2 linked regions of the Alligator mississippiensis genome follow. The protein of the gene in region 1 binds, or shares a complex with, the protein of each later gene. Links are inferred from orthologs where the notes say so. Each region holds a gene or a part of one and is shown in the gene's direction. Other genes may lie near its edges. The genes, in order: TGFB3 and TGFBR2.

Region 1 (10,586 bases):
GAATCCAGTGCAGTGGTACTTATAGCCCTCTGGACAAGACTTCCATTTTATCCTTTCAGGGTATCAAGTCTCAAAATAAGCGACCTAGAAAATATTCTGCAGGACACATCTTCCTTCAAGGGCTATTTTCAAACAGCTGACCAGTCAGTACCCCCAGGCCCAGGTATTCCAGCTAGGAAGGATCACCTAATCAACAAGCTGTCTCTAACTTTTAAACCTATTAAATAGGTACTTTGCGTCGGTCTTTCATCAGTCCCATGGGACGCCCATGCCTGCTACAGGACAGGGAAGTCTGGGTGAGGGTAATCCCCTGCCCTCCATTAATGCTGACTTCGTGAAGGAACATCTTGAGAAGCTGGATACCTTCAAGTCAGCTGGCCCTGACAATCTTCACCCCAGGGTACTCAAGGAGCTGGTGAACATCATAGCCCAGCCTCTAGCACGGATTTTTGAAAACTCTTGGCGCTCTGGTGTAGTGCCCGAAGACTGGAAGAAGGCCAATGTGGTGCCTATCTTCAAGAAAGGGAGGAAAGTGGATCTGGCTAACTATAGGCCCATTAGCCTGACTTCTATCCCGGGGAAGATCTTAGTAAAGTTTATTAAAGAGGCCATCCTTAATGGACTGGCCGATACCAACATCTTAAGAGATAGCCAGCACGGGTTTGTTGCGGGTAGGTCTTGCTTGACCAATCTCATTTCCTTCTACGACCAGGCGACCTATCACTTGGACAAGGGAGAAGAGATTGATGTCATATATCTTGACTTCAAAAAAGCCTTCGATCTGGTTTCCCATGATCGCCTCTTGGAGAAACTGGCCAATTGTTACCTTGGGTCCTCCACGATCCACTGGCTGGAAAATTGGCTCCGGGGTCAGACCCAGAGGGTAGTAATTGATGGAAGTCACTCATCATGGTCTCCTGTGACCAGCAGGGTCCCCCAAGGCTCTGTCCTTGGACCCATACTGTTCAACATCTTCATTAATGATGTGGACACTGGAGTCAGAAGTGGACTGGCCAAGTTCGCCGATGACACCAAACTTTGGGGCAAAGCATCCACACCAGAAGACAGGCGGGTGATCCAGGCTGACCTGGACAGGCTCAGCAAGTGGGCAGACGAGAATCTGATGATGTTCGACGCCAATAAATGCAAGGTTCTCCACCTTGGGAAGAAAAACTCGCAGCATCCTTATAGGCTCAGCAGTGCTATGTTGGCTAGCACTATGGAAGAAAGAGACTTGGGGGTCATCATTGACCACAAGATGAACATGAGCCTGCAGTGCGATGCTGCGGCTAGTAAAGTGACCAAAATGCTGGCTTGCATCCATAGATGCTTCTCAAGCAAATCCCGGGACGTCATTCTCCCCCTGTACTCGGCCTTAGTGAGGCCGCAGCTGGAGTACGGCGTCCAGTTTTGGGCTCCACAATTCAAAAAGGATGTGGAGAAGCTTGAGAGAGTCCAGAGAAGAGCCACGCGCATGATCAGAGGTCAGGGAAGCAGACCCTACGATGACAGGCTGAGAGCCCTGGGGCTCTTTAGCCTGGAAAAGCGCAGGCTCAGGGGTGATCTGATGGCCACCTGTAAGTTTATCAGGGGTGACCACCAGTATCTGGGTGAACGTTTGTTCACCAGAGCGCCCCAAGGGATGACGACTAGGTCGAATGGTCATAAACTACTACAAGACCGTTTCAGGCTGGACATAAGGAAGAATTTCTTTACTGTCTGAGCCCCCAAGGTCTGGAACAGCCTGCCACCGGAGGTGGTTCAAGCACCTACATTGAACACCTTCAAGAGCAAACTGGATGCTTATCTTGCTGGGATCCTATGACCCCAGCTGACTTCCTGCCCTTTGGGCAGGGGGCTGGACTCGATGATCTTCCGAGGTCCCTTCCAGCCCTAATGTCTATGAAACTTATAGTGCAACCATGCTTTTCTCACAACCAAAAGCACAGCAAGAACCTGCTCTCTACCATACTCAGCCAGCCAAGCTTTTCCTTTTTTCTTTTCTCTCCACCTGACACCTGAAGGTGTAGCAAAGCAGGGCTTATTGGAGCTACACATCCTCCTTAACCCTACCAAAGCCAGTGTGAGATGCCCCTCTTTATAACATTCAAATGTTGTGCAAACCTTTTTGGCCACAATGTCAGACTGGGCACTCATGTGTTTAGCTAGGAGTGGCTGTGCCAGGTTTAACCTGATCCAGGCAGAAGTGTCTGCTCCTGCTGTAGCTGCTTTGCAATCTGGTCCTGCATGCCCCTCCTGGAAACACAGACAGAGCTGTGTCTTAAATCAGGGTTGGGTAACCTACAGCACATATACCTCAAGAGGCACAGGCAGCCTCTGTGCGTGGCACATGGGAGATTGGGAAGGGAACAGAAAGCAGAGCAACAGTTTGGAAAGGGAACACAAGGGAAGAAGAAAGCAGAGTAATAGATCAGGCGGAGAAGGAGTCAGGAATGGCACTTGTTGGGGACCAGAGCTTACACTGTGGCACACCTGCCAAAAAGGCTGACCTCCACTCTGGGTGTGTCTACACAAAACCCTTACTGAACAGTAGCCTAATAACATTGTGCAGTAGCATGCCAGTCAACAACCATGCTAATACACTACTGCGCAGTGTTATTAGGCTACTGCCGCAGTAAGCATCACAAAAAAAACTGTTTGCTGGCACCACTGCACAGTAGTATGAGTTACTGCACATTTCGTTAGTACTTCATTAAGAAAGTACTAAACTAAATGTGCAAGAACTACTGCGCATTAATGAACATGTAGACATGCCATCCAGGGTTTAGACTCCTATCTCAAACTGAGATTCACAGTCTAGAACCCTCACCTACATTTAAGTGCCTAAGCCAGTGGTTCTCAGCCTTCTTACACCTAATGCCTCCCTCCAAAACTTTTCTGAATTTGGCATCACCCTAGTTGAGAACCTTTGTTCTAAAGTATCAGCTTGCATACTTTATCCACAGACTGCCAGTGCCACTGCCAGGTGGAACTGCCCCATGTGCCTCTGTTTCCAGAAGGCTTGCGTGGAAATGGACCTAGAAGTAGATGCAGCAGGTTTAACCTAACGCAGGCAGAACCAGTTCCTGCATTAAATTAAAAGGGTGTTCTGGCACCCTGGCTGAGAACTACTGACCTAAGCATATGTCCCCAGCTGCTAGAGCACTCATTCAGGAAGGAGCAAACATGGAATCTAAGCTTTTCTCAGGCTTTAAGAAAGTTCAAACCCCAAGCTCCCACCTGCCAAGCGAATGCCCCAAGCATTAGGCTGTCCTCTGCTAGCAGTGCTCTCAACTCCTCCTGAGGCTGAGGCATTGTGTGGCAAAGCATTTTGAATTAATGAGCTCAGAAAGAGGCAGCAAGATTTTGCAGTACAGTCAGGAAGGCATTTTTAAAGGGGGAAGGCAGTGAGGGGAGGGGAGTCCTAGTTTCTGATCCCTCCTCTCTGCTCCCAGGCCAGTTTCTGTGTTTCCCATTAAGCAGCCATTGAATAAAATATACAAACAGGCTTAGAACCAGAACACAGGACTCCCCGCAGGTGAGTGTCCTAATCACTAGACTACATCTATCTGGTCTAGTGACACCTGAATTCTTTGCTCTGGTGTTACTATTTCAACAGGAGGAGCTGACAAGTGCTTCCCCAAGCAACAAACAGCCTATAGTTTGGTGGTTGGGGAACTCTCCTGGAAAGTAAGAGCTGTATGTTTGAATATTTTCAGCCTAGAACCCAGGGCTCCCACTTCCTGGGGGATTGCTGTAGCCACTGACTAGCTGCAAGAGTGGAGACTAAAAGTGGCCAGGACTTCCATAATGTGTATGGACATCAGTGTTGTCAGCTGATGCTAGGCATGCTTAGAGCATCCCTGCTGTGTGTGTGTGAGATTCAAGCCTCTCAGGAGATACAGTTGTGAGCATGTCATAGAATCAGAGAGAAGTTGGGCTAGAAGAGACCTCTAGAGGCCATCAAGCCAAACCCCCTGAATGAGGCGGGAATATCCCTGTCCAAACCACTCTATACAATCCATAAGATAAACTCTATGTAAGATTACCATTTACCCTGACATAACACAGACCTAACACCCTAACCTGTCACAGGTAAAGCCAATATCCTGCTTCCATGAAACATTGTCAATATATACTTAAAGAGTTCCTGGGGAGAGGGCCATACACCCCACCACAGAGAAAGGCAAAAGCCCCCACAGTCCATACCAACCTGATCCATATAAATCTGACCATGGGATAAAATTCCTTCCTGACCTCAAATATGAGAATCACTCTGACCCTGAGCAAAGGGGAAGACCCTCTATTCCAGTGATTATCAACATTTTTTGTACCAGGACCCATTTGTAAAATCCAATGGCCAGCCCTGACCCAATGCCCTTCACTCCCGACCTGCTGCCCCCAACCCCCCAGTGTGTGGGGCACGGGGTAGGTGTGTGAGGCTGGGGGGCATGTGTGAGGCCCCCAAGCAGCCCCTTGCAGGCTGGAACTCTGCCAGCCTGCAAGGGAAAAGCCATGATTTTCCATGTTTTTCTCCTTCAAAGGAGAATCCATTTTTTAAGTGTGTTGATCCATTTTTAAAGCTTGTTTGCAACCCTTTCATATATCCGTGTGACCCACGGGTTGAGAAATGCTGCTCTAGTCAGAAACCTCTGGCCTTAGCCCCAGCAGGAGCATTGGCACGCCCCAGTCAAATTCCCCAGCCTTGGCTGTAGCCAACATCCAGTGCCTCTGAGGGAAGCTTAAAAAAACACTGACACATAGCAGAAAGGGGGGGGGAGGAGGGGGGGCAATCAGCAATGCCCAGAAGCATGGGAAATACCCACAGTAGAACATAGGTGTAGCTACACCTAGATCATCCCTGACCAGCAACTGTCCAACTTCTTCTTGAACACCTCCAGTGATGAAGAGTCCACAGCTGCCCTGGGCTGTCTATTCCACTGCACCACTGTTCTTACAGTGATGAAGTTTTTCCTGATTTCCAATCTAAACCTACTTTACTGCAACTTCAAGCCATTGCTCCACATCCTATGCTCAGCGGCAAGAGAGAAGAGGTATTTTCCCTCTTCTTTATGGCAGTTCAGGTATTTGAAGACTGCCATCATGTCCCATCTTAAGCATCTTTTTCACATGCTGAACATGCCTACTTCCTTCAGTCTCTCATTATATGACTTGCTTTCCAAGCCCTTTATCATCTTTGTTGTCCTTTCTAGACCCTCTCTAACTTCTCCACATGCTTTTTAAAATGTGGAGCTCAGAACTGCACACACTACTCCAGATGAGGCTGACCGGAAAGGCACTATCATCTCCTGTGTCTGACAATCCCAAATAGGTTGAGGCAGGAGACAGGCATCCGGGCCCTGTTCTGCTAGGATGACAGAGGTTTGGGGCCTGTGCAGAGCACAAGACCTACCACTTACTGGGTCAGACGATAGGTCCATCTTGTTCAGTCTCTGGTGTCACACAGGGGCAGAGCGCAGATGCTGTAAGGGACAGTATGACCAGGGTTTCTCTCTTATTTGCAGCCTTCAGTGTTTCAGGGCTAGCAAGCTGATTCAGAGGCTGTACCCCTCACTCCCATGCTCAGTAGCTACTGATGCTCCATTTCCTCCAAGAATTTGTCCAATCCCTCTTGCTGGGTTTGTGGTTGTAGCCATGTTGGTCTAAGGACATAGGGAGGCGAGGTTCTTTGGGTAGATGTGACAGCTTTTATTAGACCAACTGAGTAGTTGGGGAAAAGTTCTTAGCAAGCTTTCGGGTGCAGCCACCCTTTGTCAGGCATAGGAAGTCTGCTAAATTGGCAGCATCCACAGTATCTGGTGTCCACGAGCTCCCCGCCTGAATGACATGCCAGGTGGAAATCATTTTAAACTTCCTACCTGCTGGCTTCATGTTGTGACCTCCTGGCGCTTGTCTGGGGAGAGGGAGTACGTAAGAAATCCCTGCTGACTTTCTTTTGGCCATTTAGGGCTTCCCTGGTGAGTTAGCTGCCTCGAAAACCACCTTCGTGGAGGGCCAACACCCACGTGCCTGTGAGCGTGGGGCAAGCCTCCATCGGTCCCCGGGGTGCGGGCGGCCGAGGGGAGCCCAGCGGGGGACACGCATCCTCCTGACCTGAGGCACTGAGGAGCTGGGCGTGCGGGGAGGGGGGTCTTGGCACCGCGGGTTGCTCGGGCTTCAGAGACCCGGGCGGCCCCCACCTGCGTCTCCGCGGCCCCGGCACGTCCCTGCCTCGCGGGGCCGGGGGAGGAAGCCGGCGCAAGGGGCCTGGCCCCGGGAGCTCCCCCGCCTCCGCGCTCGCAGCCGGGCCCACCACCAGGAGGCGCCGTCGGCCTTCCCGCAGCCCCCGCAGGCTCCTGAGCCCCCCGAGCCGGTGCCGGGCGGCAGCGATGCCCGGGGAGGCGGTGTCTCCCCGGGGCTGCCCCGCCGACTGTGCAACCGGGGCCGGGCCGGGAGCGGGAGCCCAGCCCGACGCGTCACGGGGAGGGCGCTATAAAGCGGCGGGCGCGGGCGCGGGGCGGTAGTGCGCCGGGGCCAGGGCCAGGGCTCGGCCCGTGGGGATGGGCAGCGCCGCCGCCTAGCCCTCCCCGCCCCCGCCCCGGCAGAGGGAGGCACAGCCCGGGAAGCATGCGCCGTGCCGGGCCGCGCCGCCCGCTCCCCGCCGCCCGGCGCACACCCGTGCGGCGGCAGCCCGGCGCGGCGAGGCGCGGAGCCGCCCGGCAGCCGTGAGCCGCCCGCGAGCCCAGCCGCGCCGCCTGGGCCGCCGCCGGGGCCGCCGCCCGGGCCGGGAAGATGCGCTTGCAGCGGGCGCTGCTGCTGCTGAGCCTGGCCGGCGTCAGCCTGGCACTCTCGTCCTGCCCCAGCCTGGACCTGGAGCACGTCCGCAAGAAGCGGGTGGAGGCAATCCGCGGCCAGATCCTGAGCAAGCTGCGCCTCACCAGCCCGCCCGCCGCGGCGGGGCCGGCCCACGTGCCCTTCCACGTCCTGGCGCTCTTCAACAGCACCCGCGACCTGCTGGACGAGCTGCGGGCCGCGCCGGGTGCCGCGGAGGGCGGCGGCGGTGCTGGTGCCTGCGCGCGCGACGCCTCCGAGTTCGACTACTACGCCAAGGAGGTGCACAAGTTCGACATGGTCCAGGGCCTGCCCGAGCACAGTGAGTTCCCGGGGGCAGGCGGGCTGCTCTCCCTCCCGGCCTGGCCCGGCCCGGCCCCTCTGGCGGGAACCCCGTGCCCCGGCGCGTCCCCACGGCGCGCGGGACGCTGCCGGCCGCAGCTGTGCCCGCTGTGTGCCCCCGGCGCCTGGGAGACGTGTGTGTGTGTGTAAGAGAGGCACAGCAAAGGGAGGAGGCTGTCTCCATGGCTTGCCAGTGACAGGAGACTGGAGAAGACCATCCAGGATTTAGTGTCTGAATGAGCCTGAGGTTGTTCGCGTGCCCCCTGTGTGCACAGGGTGGTGGCGGTGCCTGTTTGTTGAGCCAGGGAAGCTGTGAGCAGAAAGAGGTGGCCAGGTTTCCTGGTCTGGAGTTGGAGACAGAGTCAGTTGGGCCCCCTGTGCTCACCAAAGCTGTGAGCCATGCATTTTGTGCATCTCTGTGCATGCAAGTCTAGGGCTGACAGCAACGGGAACAAAGCACAGCGTGAGGGGAAGAAGTGTAGTGGACGCTAAGAAACTCCACAGCCTGGAGCCGCAGAGTTGGAAGGAGAATGACAGGAGCAGCTTCGTTCCCTGTGCTGCCGCCAGGTGTCCTCGTGGGCTCTGTAATTACAGTAGAGGGGGGTGTGTGTGTGTGTGTGTCTGTGAAATGAGTCATTGGAGAACAGACTAGAAAGCCATTGGGGGGTCCAGGAGGAGTGTGTAGGCAAGTCTGGAGAGAAGCAGTGGAAGCATTGGGGCAGGAGACCGCAGAAAAGTTGAAGATGAATTGTTAAAACAATGATTTAAAAAAAAAAAAGTGAAATACTTGATGGTTAGCAGCCCTGCAGCAGGTGGAGGATCCTGAGACCTGGCAATGGGGCAGGCAAGGGATGGGTTTTCAGTGTCTTAGACTAACATCAGCCCAGACTCCAGCCAGGAAGCAGTAAGTCAAGCCAGTGTCTAGAGCCCTGATATCCTGGAGAAGATGAGAGGGGAAGAGAAATACACAGGAGACTGAAGGAGAGAGAAGAGGAGGAAAGAAAAGAAAGAAGGTAGTAGAGGAGATGGTTTGAGTCTCATAGACTGAACGTATTGTAACCACCAGGAAAAAAATCTCAGTGTGGACAACAGAATCACTAGCACAGAACCAGATTGATCCCTGGTGAAACTCCTTTGACCTGGGCAGGGACAGATATGGCCCTTTGGTTTGGGCAGAGCATGCACCTAGCATAGGGAAGAGAAAGATGTACAAGCTGAAGAAAGGCGACTGCTGAGAGATGCAGCCATGGAGATGTCAATGAGGATGCTGCGTGGATGCAGAAGAGATGGAAAATGATCATAGAATAAGAAAGATGCTGAACAGGTGAAGAGCAGACACTGATATGGATTGGATCACCCCCCCCCCCCCCTCCCTCCAGCCAAGGGCAGACAGAAAGGAGGTGCTGGAAGACTCATGTTGTACAGGTGCAGAGCAGATGCTGAACAGACCTACTAAGCAGAGTCAGGTGCAGATACAGAGACTGGAACTGAACAGATCCAAACCCGGAGCAGACTGCAGATTCAGAGCAGATGTAGCTGCAGAGCATTTCTCTTGGCGACTACTTGGGGCTCCCCAGTGCTGGAAGACATCGGAGGGCATGCAGTCATATCATGTAGTGTACAGCCTGGGAGATGCTGATTTATCGCCAGAAGTTCCTGGGTACTGTTTACCAAAGGATCTGGGATGCAGTGCAGGCAGTCTCAGAATACTGTTGAGACTGCCAGGTTTATGTTAATCTTGACACATGATGAGTTGGAATATAGGTTAAAATGTGATAATGCAACAAATTTCACTTAATCTCTAGCAGACTGCACTCCATATGGTTAGATGATTAGCTCTCTTCTCAGGAGGCAGCAGGACTCAGAGCAGGGGAGGCTGCATGGCTGGACCAAAGGGCATTAGCAAACTATTATTGCAGTATTTATACACTGCTAAAGCACCATTAATGGTGCTCTGCATGCCTATGGGAAGATTAGATCTCTACCCCAAAGAGTTTACAGTCTGGTAAACACACTGAAAACAAAGTTTGGATGTGATATAGGATTGGCTTGCACAACTGGGTAGCTGAAGATCATGCAAGAAGAGTAGATTTGAGTCTGGGAAGGCAGAAGGAGAACTGTTGGGGCACAATGGAAGAGGGACCTCCTCTAAGTGGAGGAACAATGTGACAAAATGGGGAGAGGAGGCAGACCAGTAATGAGGTACACCGGTACAGCTGGGAGTGAGAAGAGGGCTCTGGATTAGCAAAGGATGCTGCAGGCAAGTACTGGGATGCTATGAGGGGAAGCTTCCACAATTTTGGGCTCTTTATTTGCTGAATGCTTGCTAGTCTTCTATTGTCATTAGCACTACTGTTGCATAACTTTCCCCATCAATAGTCAGGATGCCCATGTGGTGCCAGAGTGCCATATTCAAGAGATCAAGGTGCCTGTGAATGCCTAGGGGTGGGCAGTGCATCTCCCACTATCCAGAGGAAGAGACATCTTGGGAAGTGGGTCACCATAGGAGAGAGGATCAAAGTTGCTTGTGGTGGAAGCAGGCAGAGCCTACAGCAATCTGTGGAGTTTCACCTACCTACATCAGGGCTGAATTTGATCCTCTGTCTTCAAAAGTGGCTGGGATTCAACTTTCCCATGACTCTGTCATTCTGCCAGAAGGTGATCTCAGACTGTATTTTGAGCCAAAAGCCAGTCTCCTCTTGGAGGGAGGAGAGCTTAATCCATCAAGGGATCCTGGGCTAATACAAACAAGTCTGAAACGTGTGTGTGTGTGTGTGTGTGTGTGTGTGTGTGTGTGTCCGCGCACACCCCACCCCACCCTCCCTCCCACCTGTTCTAATGCTTCATCAGCCAGACAAACTCACTGGCTTGGATAATGAGCTAAAAAATGAGGACAGCTGAGGAGCTAAGGGGGCAGCAGGGAGAGGCTGGTTGTTCTAGGAAAAGGGATGAAGATGTTCAGGAGCAGACTCCTCCCTTGTGCATGGTGAAGGAATGCTCTTTCTGCTGTGCTTCCTGTGGCCATTGCCCAAGGTAAACACCTGAGAGGGAAGGTCTCCCTTTCTAAAGAGAGCGGGGCATTCTGCCTCAGGCAGTCACCAAGGCCCTCCCAGTGCAGTGTCCCTGGGGTGAACAGCAGAAACTGCTTTCATCCTTTCCCCATCCTTGCATGCAGTAGTGGGTGCATGGAGAGCAGGTGGGCACCAATGGCTTGAAAGTCTCCTGATTTTTGTTTCCAGAGGGCCAGTGATGCTACTACAGTGCTGTCCCCATGCCTGGCTACCTACACCATCCACGCTGATAGACCTGAGGTAGCAGTGCCAGACCACTTTCATCCTTTTACCTGTTCCTAACCTGTACTCTGCGGTACGCTCCACCATTAACAGGTGGTGTTAGTGACAGGGCTGCTTTAT
Region 2 (9,557 bases), on another chromosome or scaffold:
TGGCAGCTGTACGAGTGCATCTTGACTAGATATAAAGGGAAAACAAGAAGAAAAGAAAAAACTGTTTGAGAGGTTTATAAGAATCCACACCATAAACTGCAACTGTGTAGCTATGTAGCTATACATTTAGGGAGTTATTAAAACTCAAATTTGCATAAATGGGATATTGAAGCTTAAATTCTAGAACTATTACATTATGTAAATAACTGAACAATTCATAAATGCTGATATGGGACATTCAGCATTATGCACATGCACGGGCTCAATCCCTGTCTCAAATACCCTGGTCTGATGCCACTTCCAGTTCTGTAATCAAGACACAGCTGAATCATCAAAATTACAACAGAGACTCTCAAATTATTCCTGTGCTTCTAGTTACTCTGCTCTCAGTTATATAGTTATGTAGTGAAATTTAAAAGCCCACATACTAAAATACACAGTAAAATAATTACTTTATATCTGGAGGCTGCATTTCTAGAGACAAGAGTGGCTATTGCTACAATCCTTAGTTAGTTCAATCTCTCAGTAGAGTTTATGGTCACTAACTGCTCAATAGACTATACAGAACAGCTGCATTGCATTGCTTCCAACCTCAAAATATCCTTTCCCCCTAGTTTTGATTCCTCACTCTTGCAAAGATCTTCACAAAATACATTAATATTTGGTCTATGTTAGAATCACAGGGAAAATGGGGCTGAATGGGACTTCAGAAAGTCCACTAGCCTAATACCCTGTTCAAAACCAGATCATTTCTAAATCATCCTATATACCATCCTAAATAACAAAATTGTCTAACCTGTGCTTAAACATTTCCAGTGATGGAGAGCCCACAGTCCCTCTAGGCTAGAGAAAGAAGCAGATGAATTTCATCTACCTCAGTGACCCATAATGAGCATTAGCCATCGCAAAGTCAGGACCTGTTGGATATGTAGTTGATGGCTGAGATTGCTACGTGGCCCAGTGTTACATGGGTGTTTGCTTGCCTTCACCTAATCTGGTAAAATACATCTTAAACTTACCCGCCCATTGCAATACTTGTTGCAGGGAGTTCCTGTTCGGTTGTTTGTTGGCTGTGCTTAGGTAAGGTGGCATCACGGGGTGGGGAGGAATCACGAAACATTTTCATTAATATGATCCTTTATTTCAGGTTATTTTTGTGCCTGTGCATGTAGATTTCGCATTTTAAAAAAGATATGAAATTCTGCCAAGTATCTTTACATAACTAGCTTAGCTTGAAAAAAAAGTTGATTGACTTATTAACAATTTACCCTAGTTTTCAGGAAAATGGTTTGCCTGTTTCTTTCTGAAAATTTTCCTTTAAAAACCACAAATTCTTTTCAGTTTTGGAACGCAATAAAGTCTCCATCACTGGAAATTTTTAAGTGCCAGTGAGAGAGATTTTTTTGTCTTGGCTAGTTTAGACAAAAATGATCCTATTTTGAACAGGCTATTTGGCTAGTGGATTTCTGGAGGTCCCATTCAGCCCCGTTTTCCTATGATTCTAACATTGGCCAAATATTCAGGTATTTTGCAACCATCTTTGCAAGCGTGAGAAATGAAAACTATGAGAAAAGGATGACAAGCTGCTGGGATTGCAGCTGCCAGTAGAGATTGGCTTGTTACATTGACACCTTAGGTACACAGCTAGTCTGCACTAACATTTCCTGTTATTACCCTTACTTCAGCCTCTGTTCTCTCTGGTTCCTCTCACCTGCCTGTTCTGTCTTGTCTTTTCAACACCGATCTTACAGTGTGCTCATGCACAGGTAGAGCTACTCTGCTGTCACATGTGGAGGTGTTGCCCTGTGGGGTCAGTCCAACTCTCAGGATCTCAATATTGCACTGTTAGATAGGAGGGTGTGACACAATTGCACATATACAAACACACAAATCAATTGGGTGCATACACACACACACAATACCAGCTCAGGGACATACACATCCAAACCAGCCTAGGCACATGCATACCTATCACCAATTCAAGTACATACACTATACACCCCAAAAGTTAGACACAGATCACTAATTTGTATATCATGCACACAATGACATATATATATGTATATATACACACACACACACTCACCAGTTCACACACATACACATCCACACAGGTAAATTCCTAATTTGGATGGTACAGTGTATATGTGTGTGCTTGGGGTACCTGGGATACTTGGGGGAAGGTTCAGGTGAGAGAGAGAGAGTTAAAGCGCAGGGAGTGAAAGTTGCCAGAACCAGGAGTAGAACCAGTGGACTACAGAGAAGCTGGCTGAGGAACCAAGGCTTAGGATTACTTAAGGTAGACTGGGGCTGAAAACTGAGGCAGACAGCTGAGATATTGGGCAGGGGAGGCAGATAAGTGGTGGCAAGGAGGCGACAGTCAGGAAAGAAACTGAGGCAGAAACCTGGATGCTCAGGGGAAAAGGAAAAGGCAGAGGGAATAAGACAGTGGCAAAGAAACAGGGGGTTTGGAGGCAGAGAGGAGCTCAGGACAAGTGTTGGAGGTGGCAGTGAGCCAGAAGCAGGAGAGGGAGAAATGAGACAGAAGTTAGAGGGGCGAGGAGCAGAGATTGGAGCAGGGCCAAACCCTAGTAAAGCAAAACCCAACTTAGGGGTCCAAATAACAGTTTTATTAACAAGACAACACACTACACAGTCCCATGAAGTTATTGGTTCACACATGCACATGCACACGCGCGCGTGTGCACACACACACACACGCACTCACAATGGCAGCAGGAGAAAGAGACTCAGTGGAAGGGTTGGAGTCCAGGTGGGGAAGAGAAGTGGAGTCCAAGTCCTTGGTTGAAGAGGGGGTGATAGCTACCTATCCAGGCTGGAAAGGGGTCTTTGTCCAGCAGGTGTTGTCCAGAGGGGGGGTCGTCGGCAGGGCCTCTGGGTGGATAGGTGGTGTGGCATGGTGCTGGTCCAGATGGAGAGGGCGTCCCACGGGGTCTGTCTTCACTCCCCCTTTTTATAGGAGCAGATTCTGTGTGACCCTAGTGACAGGAGGCATGCCCCGGTAAGGGTCAGCCCCTGGTTTACTGAGCATGTGTGCTCCATGCAGGGATGTGCAGTTTCGTGTGTCTGTAATGGTGGGGTACAATGGTAGAGTTACTAGTTCTGTAGGATTTTTTGTCTTTCAAATGTTGGGTTCTTGTCTCTGTTCCTGGGTGAGGTCCATGGTTCCTGGATGAATCAATGCGAGGTGATGGCCTAGTCGTTACAGACAGTACAGGCCTGCTACCATTGTATTTCACTCATTCCCAATCGCTCTCATTCATCCTGGAACCAATTGACATGGGAGGGGTACATGAATCATACAGTTGCAACACAGGGGATGCTCAGGCAGAGGACGCAAGACGGAGGCTTGACATACAAAATGGAAACTTGACATGACTTATGCTAACTTACATATATAGGCCTAAAACAGTAATCACACAATATAAAAGCAGTACAAACATAATAATTATCACTTATAAAACAGTGGGTATCGATATCAAAATAGTAGGGAACTTATTTGCAGAGGGGAGAGAAAAATAAAACTTACTACCTAAAATAAAATGTTAAAGCTTATCCTACATCTTAGCTTACTTATACTTCTCTATAGGGAATAGAGAGGGAGAGAAAAAGTCAGAAATGGTTGGGGAAGGGGAGGGAATGCATTTTAAAATAAATAAAAAAAAGAAAAACTGCGGGTTTTGCTACAGAGGTACCAGGGGATTCACTGGGCCTATACAGAGAAACAGCTCAGGTGTTAACATGGAAATACAGGCCTGGAAGAGACCTTTTCAGTGGTGGACCCAGGGGTGGTGCCATGATGCACTTGCACAACCCTTAGATTCTGGGTCCCCCTGCAACGTTTAAAACCAACTGCCTGGCAGTGGCAACAGCACTTCTAGTTAGGCACTGCAGAATGAGTCCATTGACTTCATGACTCATAATCTACTTCATCCCTTTATCCCTTCTAAACTCTTAATCCTCCTGAAATGAACAACTCTCTCTTCTTTTTAATGGTCTTGATGTTCAAGCTCACCTTATGTCTGCCATTCTCCAGTCTCTTCACTGCTCCTGGTCATTAAACTCCTCTTTCACAGTCCAGCAAATTGTTTTTGCTTTTGCTTTGACCTTAAAATGAGTAATCCAGCCCTAGGCCCTGAGAGTATTAGTAAAGCATCCGGTTTATTTTTAACCAGAGAAAAACATGTGTGGTTTTTATTTGTGCTGATGCACCTCACCAGCTGCATGCCCCCCCTCCCCCCTTAGATCTGCCCATATGCCTCTTGGTTCTTTGTGTCCAGCCCCTGGACACCATGTTACATGTTGCCAGAGGACCCCTCACTCATCAGGCCTTTGGGGCAGGGACTGTTTGTATGCTGTTGGGCCCAAAAGAGCCCCATATGACCACACATGTGATGGCAGGAATTCTAACAAGGTTCTCGAGGCGGTTGGCATAGGGATGAGCCTGCCTCAGGCGAGGGGTTGAACTAGATGAGCTGTGGAGGTCCCTTCCAGTCCTCCCTTTATTCTATGGTCCTATGATCTCTGGATGGGAGTATGTAGATCTCTTTCCATCCCTGCCTCTATTCTGTAATCCTGTGTTCTCGGGATGGGGGTATGTAGGTTCTTTCCATCCCTGGCTCTACGTTCCTGTGGTCTCAGGATGCGGGTATGTAGGTCCTTCTCAGCCCCTCCTCTCTATTCTAGTTGATGATCTAGTTGAGGATGGTCCTGCTGTGAGCAGGGGGATGGACTAGTCCCTTCCAACCCTCATTTTTGATGATCCTGTGGTCTCGGGATGGGAGTATGTAGGTTCTTTCCAGCCCGGCCTCTATGATCCTGTGGTCTCTGGATGGGGGGTACATAGGCCTTTTTCAGCCCTGCCTCTATTCTAGTTGATGATCTAGTTGGGGATGGTCCTGCTTTGAGCAGGGGGATGGACTAGTCCCTTCCAATCCTGAGGTCCTTTCCCCCTCTCGTTTTCTACGACCTGTCATCTCCAGATGGGGGTAGTTAGGTAGGTCCCTTTTAGCCCTGCCCCTCTCTTCCAGGTGATGAACTAGTTGGGGATGGTCCTGCTCTGAGCAGGGGGGTGGACTAGTCCCTGCCAGCCCCCATTTGCGATGATGCTGTGGTCTCCGGGTCGGGGTGCGTAGGTCCCCTCCAGCCCTGCCTCTACGGCCCCGCGCTCTGGGGCTGGGCGGACGCGGGTCCCTTCCAGCCCTGCCTCGCTGACCCCGCGGCTGGGCGGCGGGCAGGCGGGGAGCGCTGCGGGAGCCCCGCGAGACTGGCGGAGGGGGCGGGAAAGCCCGGTCCATCCAAGCCGCCCGCTGCCTCCATCTCCGAGCCGGCCCGGCCGGTCCCGCGCCCACACCTGACGGAGCGCGCCGCGGCCCGGCCCGGCTTGGCGCGGCGCCCCCCTCTGCCGCGGCCGCGAGGGGCCGGCTCGGGGCGGAGCGGGGAGAGGCTGGGGGGGCAGGAACTACTGTGCGAGGGAGAAAGTCCTGCCCAGCTGTTGGCGAAGTTTTTAAGATTTCCTGTTTCCCCTGCAGCGCCCGAGTGACTCACTCCCCGGCAGCCTGCGAGCCTCCGCCGCGGCCTCCCGCTCGGCCCGGCCCGGCCCGGCCCGGCCCGGCCCCGCCATGAGTCCGGCTCGGGGGCTGCTGCTGCTGCTGCACGTCTGTCTGGGCTGCGGTGAGTGTCCGCCGCGTCCGGCTGACAGCGCTGGCGGGGAGGCGCGGTGCCCGCCCCGGCCCCCGGGAGGAGCCGTGCGCCGTGGAGGGCAGGGCGCTGCTGGGCACCCCTTCCCAGCCAGGGCAGGGGAGTGGAGGGGATGAATGCCCCCTCGGCCCAGCTGTCCGGCGGCTTGGCTGTTCCTGGCACTGCTGGAGACGGGGCATCTCAGCAGTGCCCAGGGAAGGCAACTCAGCTCCCTGTGTTGTGCCTGCATCCCTGAGGTGGTTGCTCCTTGGGGCGGCGTGTGGGCCCTGGTGCACATGGGGTGAAGCGGACAGCTGCGTCTCCCAGGCGCTACCTGTCAAGTGGTGGCAGATGCCCTCGGGAGGACTTGGGATCTGCTTTCGCTCCCAAAACGGCTGCGGTGCGGGATTGGACAGCCATACCCCACCCCCCTTTGCCAACTCGATAACACTCCCCTGGATGTTTTTAAGCCCCTCCAGCTCCTAGTGCTAGTCACAGATGGATTTGTCTCCTGCCAAAGGTCTGCCAAGGGGCTTGGCCAGTGGAGGGGAAAACAAGGCCCCTGCCTTGAGAAGTTGGTAGTCTGGGGTTTCTCATCCTACACCTACACCTCTGCAGGCAAGCTCAGCATGACTGCTCGCATGTCAAAAGCTGCTCCTGTAGGCGCACAGGGGAGTAGGCCCCAAAACCTGCTTGTGAAAGCAGGGTTGCCTGTTAGTACTGCAAGGTCCAGAAACTAAGGAAGTGCTGAGGGGCCAGAGGCTGGTGGATTTTTAACTTGCAAACAGCTTTTATAAATCAAGTGGATACCTAGAACCGAAGGCACGTATTAAGGTACTAAATACCTATCCTTAGGTCCTCAAGTAACATGATCACTGTGTAAACTGCTGAACGGTTCTGGAATCTGTCTCTCTCCTCACGTTCCTTTAATTGGCCTGTATCTGATCAGTAAATAAGCACTCCACCAAGCCGTTGTTCCTTATCGTCTTTTAGCAATCATCCAAAACTGCTGATGCTGTACATACTTGAGTTGCTTTTTGCACAGTGAGTAATCTTGTCAAAGCTAATAGAACTGCACACCTGGACAGTTTTTGGGACAGATGTGACAATGATATAAAGTTTGTATCTTAAAGAAGGCAGCGTATGGATGAAGGCTTATCGTAGCATAAGAATTTTGCACCTGATATATTCAGCCTTCTGCCTGAACTTTTTTTACGATGATGTGTTTTTGGTACCTAATAAGTGATGATTGTGATGACTGTGATAATATTTGTTCTTGGGCAATGAAAATAAAGTAATCCGTTGCACTTGTTGAAAGTCATTTTCCAGTAAGTTCCTATTTCAAGTTCTTTTGCATTAACCCAATTTTGTAAACTGTAGTTTTTCTTCCTTTAGACAATGATGAGGCAGATCTTTAGTTATTGCGGATTGGTATTGGTCACTTGATATCAGTGGAGCTATACAAATATACACACAAGCTCAGGATCTGGCCCAATGTGTTTCAATTTGAATTTTTGAAAGGTTAATGGATACATTTGATTTTAGTTTAGCTCTTAACTTTTGTAAAAGATTATACCTTATAACCTATATTTAACCAGAGTGTGTTCTTTTAAAACCAAGCACTTTTTTTTTCCAGGATGAATTGTTATAGCTTCAAACTTGTTTATAATATAACAGTAGGAAACGATAATTCCTAGTTGTTAAATGTGAAAAGGTTTTGTATGAGTAGTCCTATATTATATTTGTTTACAAGATTGAGGATGGAGCTTTTTAATATGATTTAAAAATGTATATTCATAAATCTTCATCCAATAATAGTTCCTCTTCTGGGGGAGGAGGGGAGGAAAGGAGAACACGGTGTTGTTGTGGCACCAATTGATGAAGTTTCTCATGACCAGATTTCCTCTGCAGGATATTTTTAAATTGGTATTTTTGCGTTTGTGGTGTAGGGACTTTTTCCTTGTAGTGTCTGTATCACAGCTCTGCCGTGTTCTTTCTGCAGTTACACTTCTGTGTCCCCACTGCAACACCACTAGCTTCAGTAGAGTTACTCCAGTTTGCACTGCTGTAAATGAGCAGAACCGAAGCTGTGGACCTTATTCTTTAGTGCTGCCACCTTGTGTAGCAATTTGCATATGGGCAAAGTGGGTATTAAATGTGAATACTCATGCAAAGGAAAAATTATAGTCTGAAAGTGCTTTACACATGCAGTATGCTTTGAAAGTATCCTTCAGTTCTGCTGAGGTGGTAGAATCCAAAGCTTTCAGCCACCTTTTTGACACTACAATCCTGGGCTTGGCTGGAGCCACTTTTGGCCTCCAGCATAATTGAGAATTCAACTCTGAACTATTGTTACTTATTCACACCTGCTTATGACCCTAAAGGGCAATTCTGGCATCTGGTATTCCCTGAATTCTCAGCTTGGCATATTGCAGAAGTTTCAGATGCTTTGCAGCTTCCAAACAGTGCAAACCAGGTAGTATGTGGTTAGTTTTGTATGGAGGTAAAGGACTACATAGGTCTTTGTAGTACAAACCAGTGCAGAATCAGTCCCTCTGTTGTAAAATGGGAAATCTCTTATAGCCCTACCTTCAAAGAGTCAGTGCCATTTTCTTCCATCTAGTTTGCTTAATTTTTATTTATTTATTTATTTATTGGCCTCAGAGCTCATCAAGTATGTATTTTCTTTTTCTACCTAATAATGAGAATAGGATGTAAAGTTGCTTTTGGTCAGTAGAAAAATGAAAATGGGTGGGTATTTTCTTGAATAAAGCTAATCGGAGAAGATGGAAATAGCCCCAAATAAGTAGAAAGAATGGGCTTAATCTACAGAATATTCAGGCAGTCTTGAGCTAGGGACAGAAATTACATATAAACCAGTATAAGAAACTGGTTCAGATCTGTAACAAATCAGAAGTTCAGTGCACATAAGCCACATTAGAAATGGCCAAAATGGTTTAAGATAAATCTGGATGGATGTAGTATCAGACTTAATTGATTTAGGTTAAATCAGTTTATTGAACTCCTGTCCCAGATCCTGTCCAGATTCAAGTAGACTTGCAGTCCCCTGGCTTCCCAGAATGCTTTGCACCTCTTCTGCCAACCCCAACCCCACCTTGTAGGGCTAGCCTTGGCCCAAGCTGTCTGCTCCAGTGAAGCAGGGAGTCTTACTCTAGCACCCCCGGCTTCTGACCTGAGCCACTGCAGGCATGGGGCTGTATTTCCAGAATCAAAAGTGAATGTCTGTTCACTTGTTTATCGGCTCAATCTATACAGCTTAGACTAACTTGAGAAGATTGAATAGATTCAGCCTCAGTCTTTTTGACTGTGAGTTCTTAATCTTGATGTTCAACTCTGTTAGTGGGTGGCTGTGATAAGAGTTAAGAAATTAAACCTCATTCTTGCTACCTCCTTGCCTCTGAGTAATCTGTTTATTACAAATGAGCACTGCTTTAGTTAGTGTAGAAATGAGACTGAGCATGGTTACTATGTCAGAGTGTAATGGGACTGTTTCTGAGACCAAGTGAAGCATTCTCTAGTAAATGCATGATCTGGTTTTAGTGCTGTAAGATAAATTTTCAACATGTATCTAAGACTTGTGTAATATCCAATAAATATAAAGTAGGGTAAACTGATATCAGTTGCATGCACCCTTATCACCAACTATCTGAAAGCATGAAATTGTAGTTTACATGTAGGGTTTTAGGCCTGGAAAGATGTGTTCCAAACATAATATAATAGTGAGTTTCTTCCTCAGTATGAGCCTGATTTCAGGAAAAGAATTAAGCACATGATTGAATAATGTCACACACCAAGAAGCTCTTAAATATGTTCTTAAGTCTTGTTGATTTTTGGTG

The links.
Region 2: the proteins of TGFB3 (region 1) and TGFBR2 are in contact, whole or in part, in a crystal structure (PDB 9B9F), measured with the Homo sapiens proteins. The link is inferred for Alligator mississippiensis from reciprocal best matches to the Homo sapiens genes TGFB3 and TGFBR2. Residues at the interface, in NP_001316868.1 of Homo sapiens: Arg325, Lys331, Trp332, His334, Tyr390, Tyr391, Val392, Gly393, Arg394; in NP_003233.4 of Homo sapiens: Leu50, Phe53, Asp55, Ser72, Ile73, Thr74, Ser75, Ile76, Glu78, Val100, Asp141, Glu142.

The regions. Positions count from the first base shown.
Region 1 is NC_081825.1:261,765,034-261,775,619, reverse strand, and holds the start of TGFB3 (transforming growth factor beta-3 proprotein), read left to right. Parts: upstream 1-6,512; 5' UTR 6,513-6,792; coding exon 6,793-7,153; intron 7,154-10,586. UniProt on the Homo sapiens protein: Transforming growth factor beta-3 proprotein: Precursor of the Latency-associated peptide (LAP) and Transforming growth factor beta-3 (TGF-beta-3) chains, which constitute the regulatory and active subunit of TGF-beta-3, respectively.
Region 2 is NC_081828.1:143,383,685-143,393,241, reverse strand, and holds the start of TGFBR2 (TGF-beta receptor type-2), read left to right. Parts: upstream 1-5,538; 5' UTR 5,539-5,642; coding exon 5,643-5,694; intron 5,695-6,338; exon of another isoform or gene 6,339-6,534; intron 6,535-9,557. UniProt on the Homo sapiens protein: Transmembrane serine/threonine kinase forming with the TGF-beta type I serine/threonine kinase receptor, TGFBR1, the non-promiscuous receptor for the TGF-beta cytokines TGFB1, TGFB2 and TGFB3.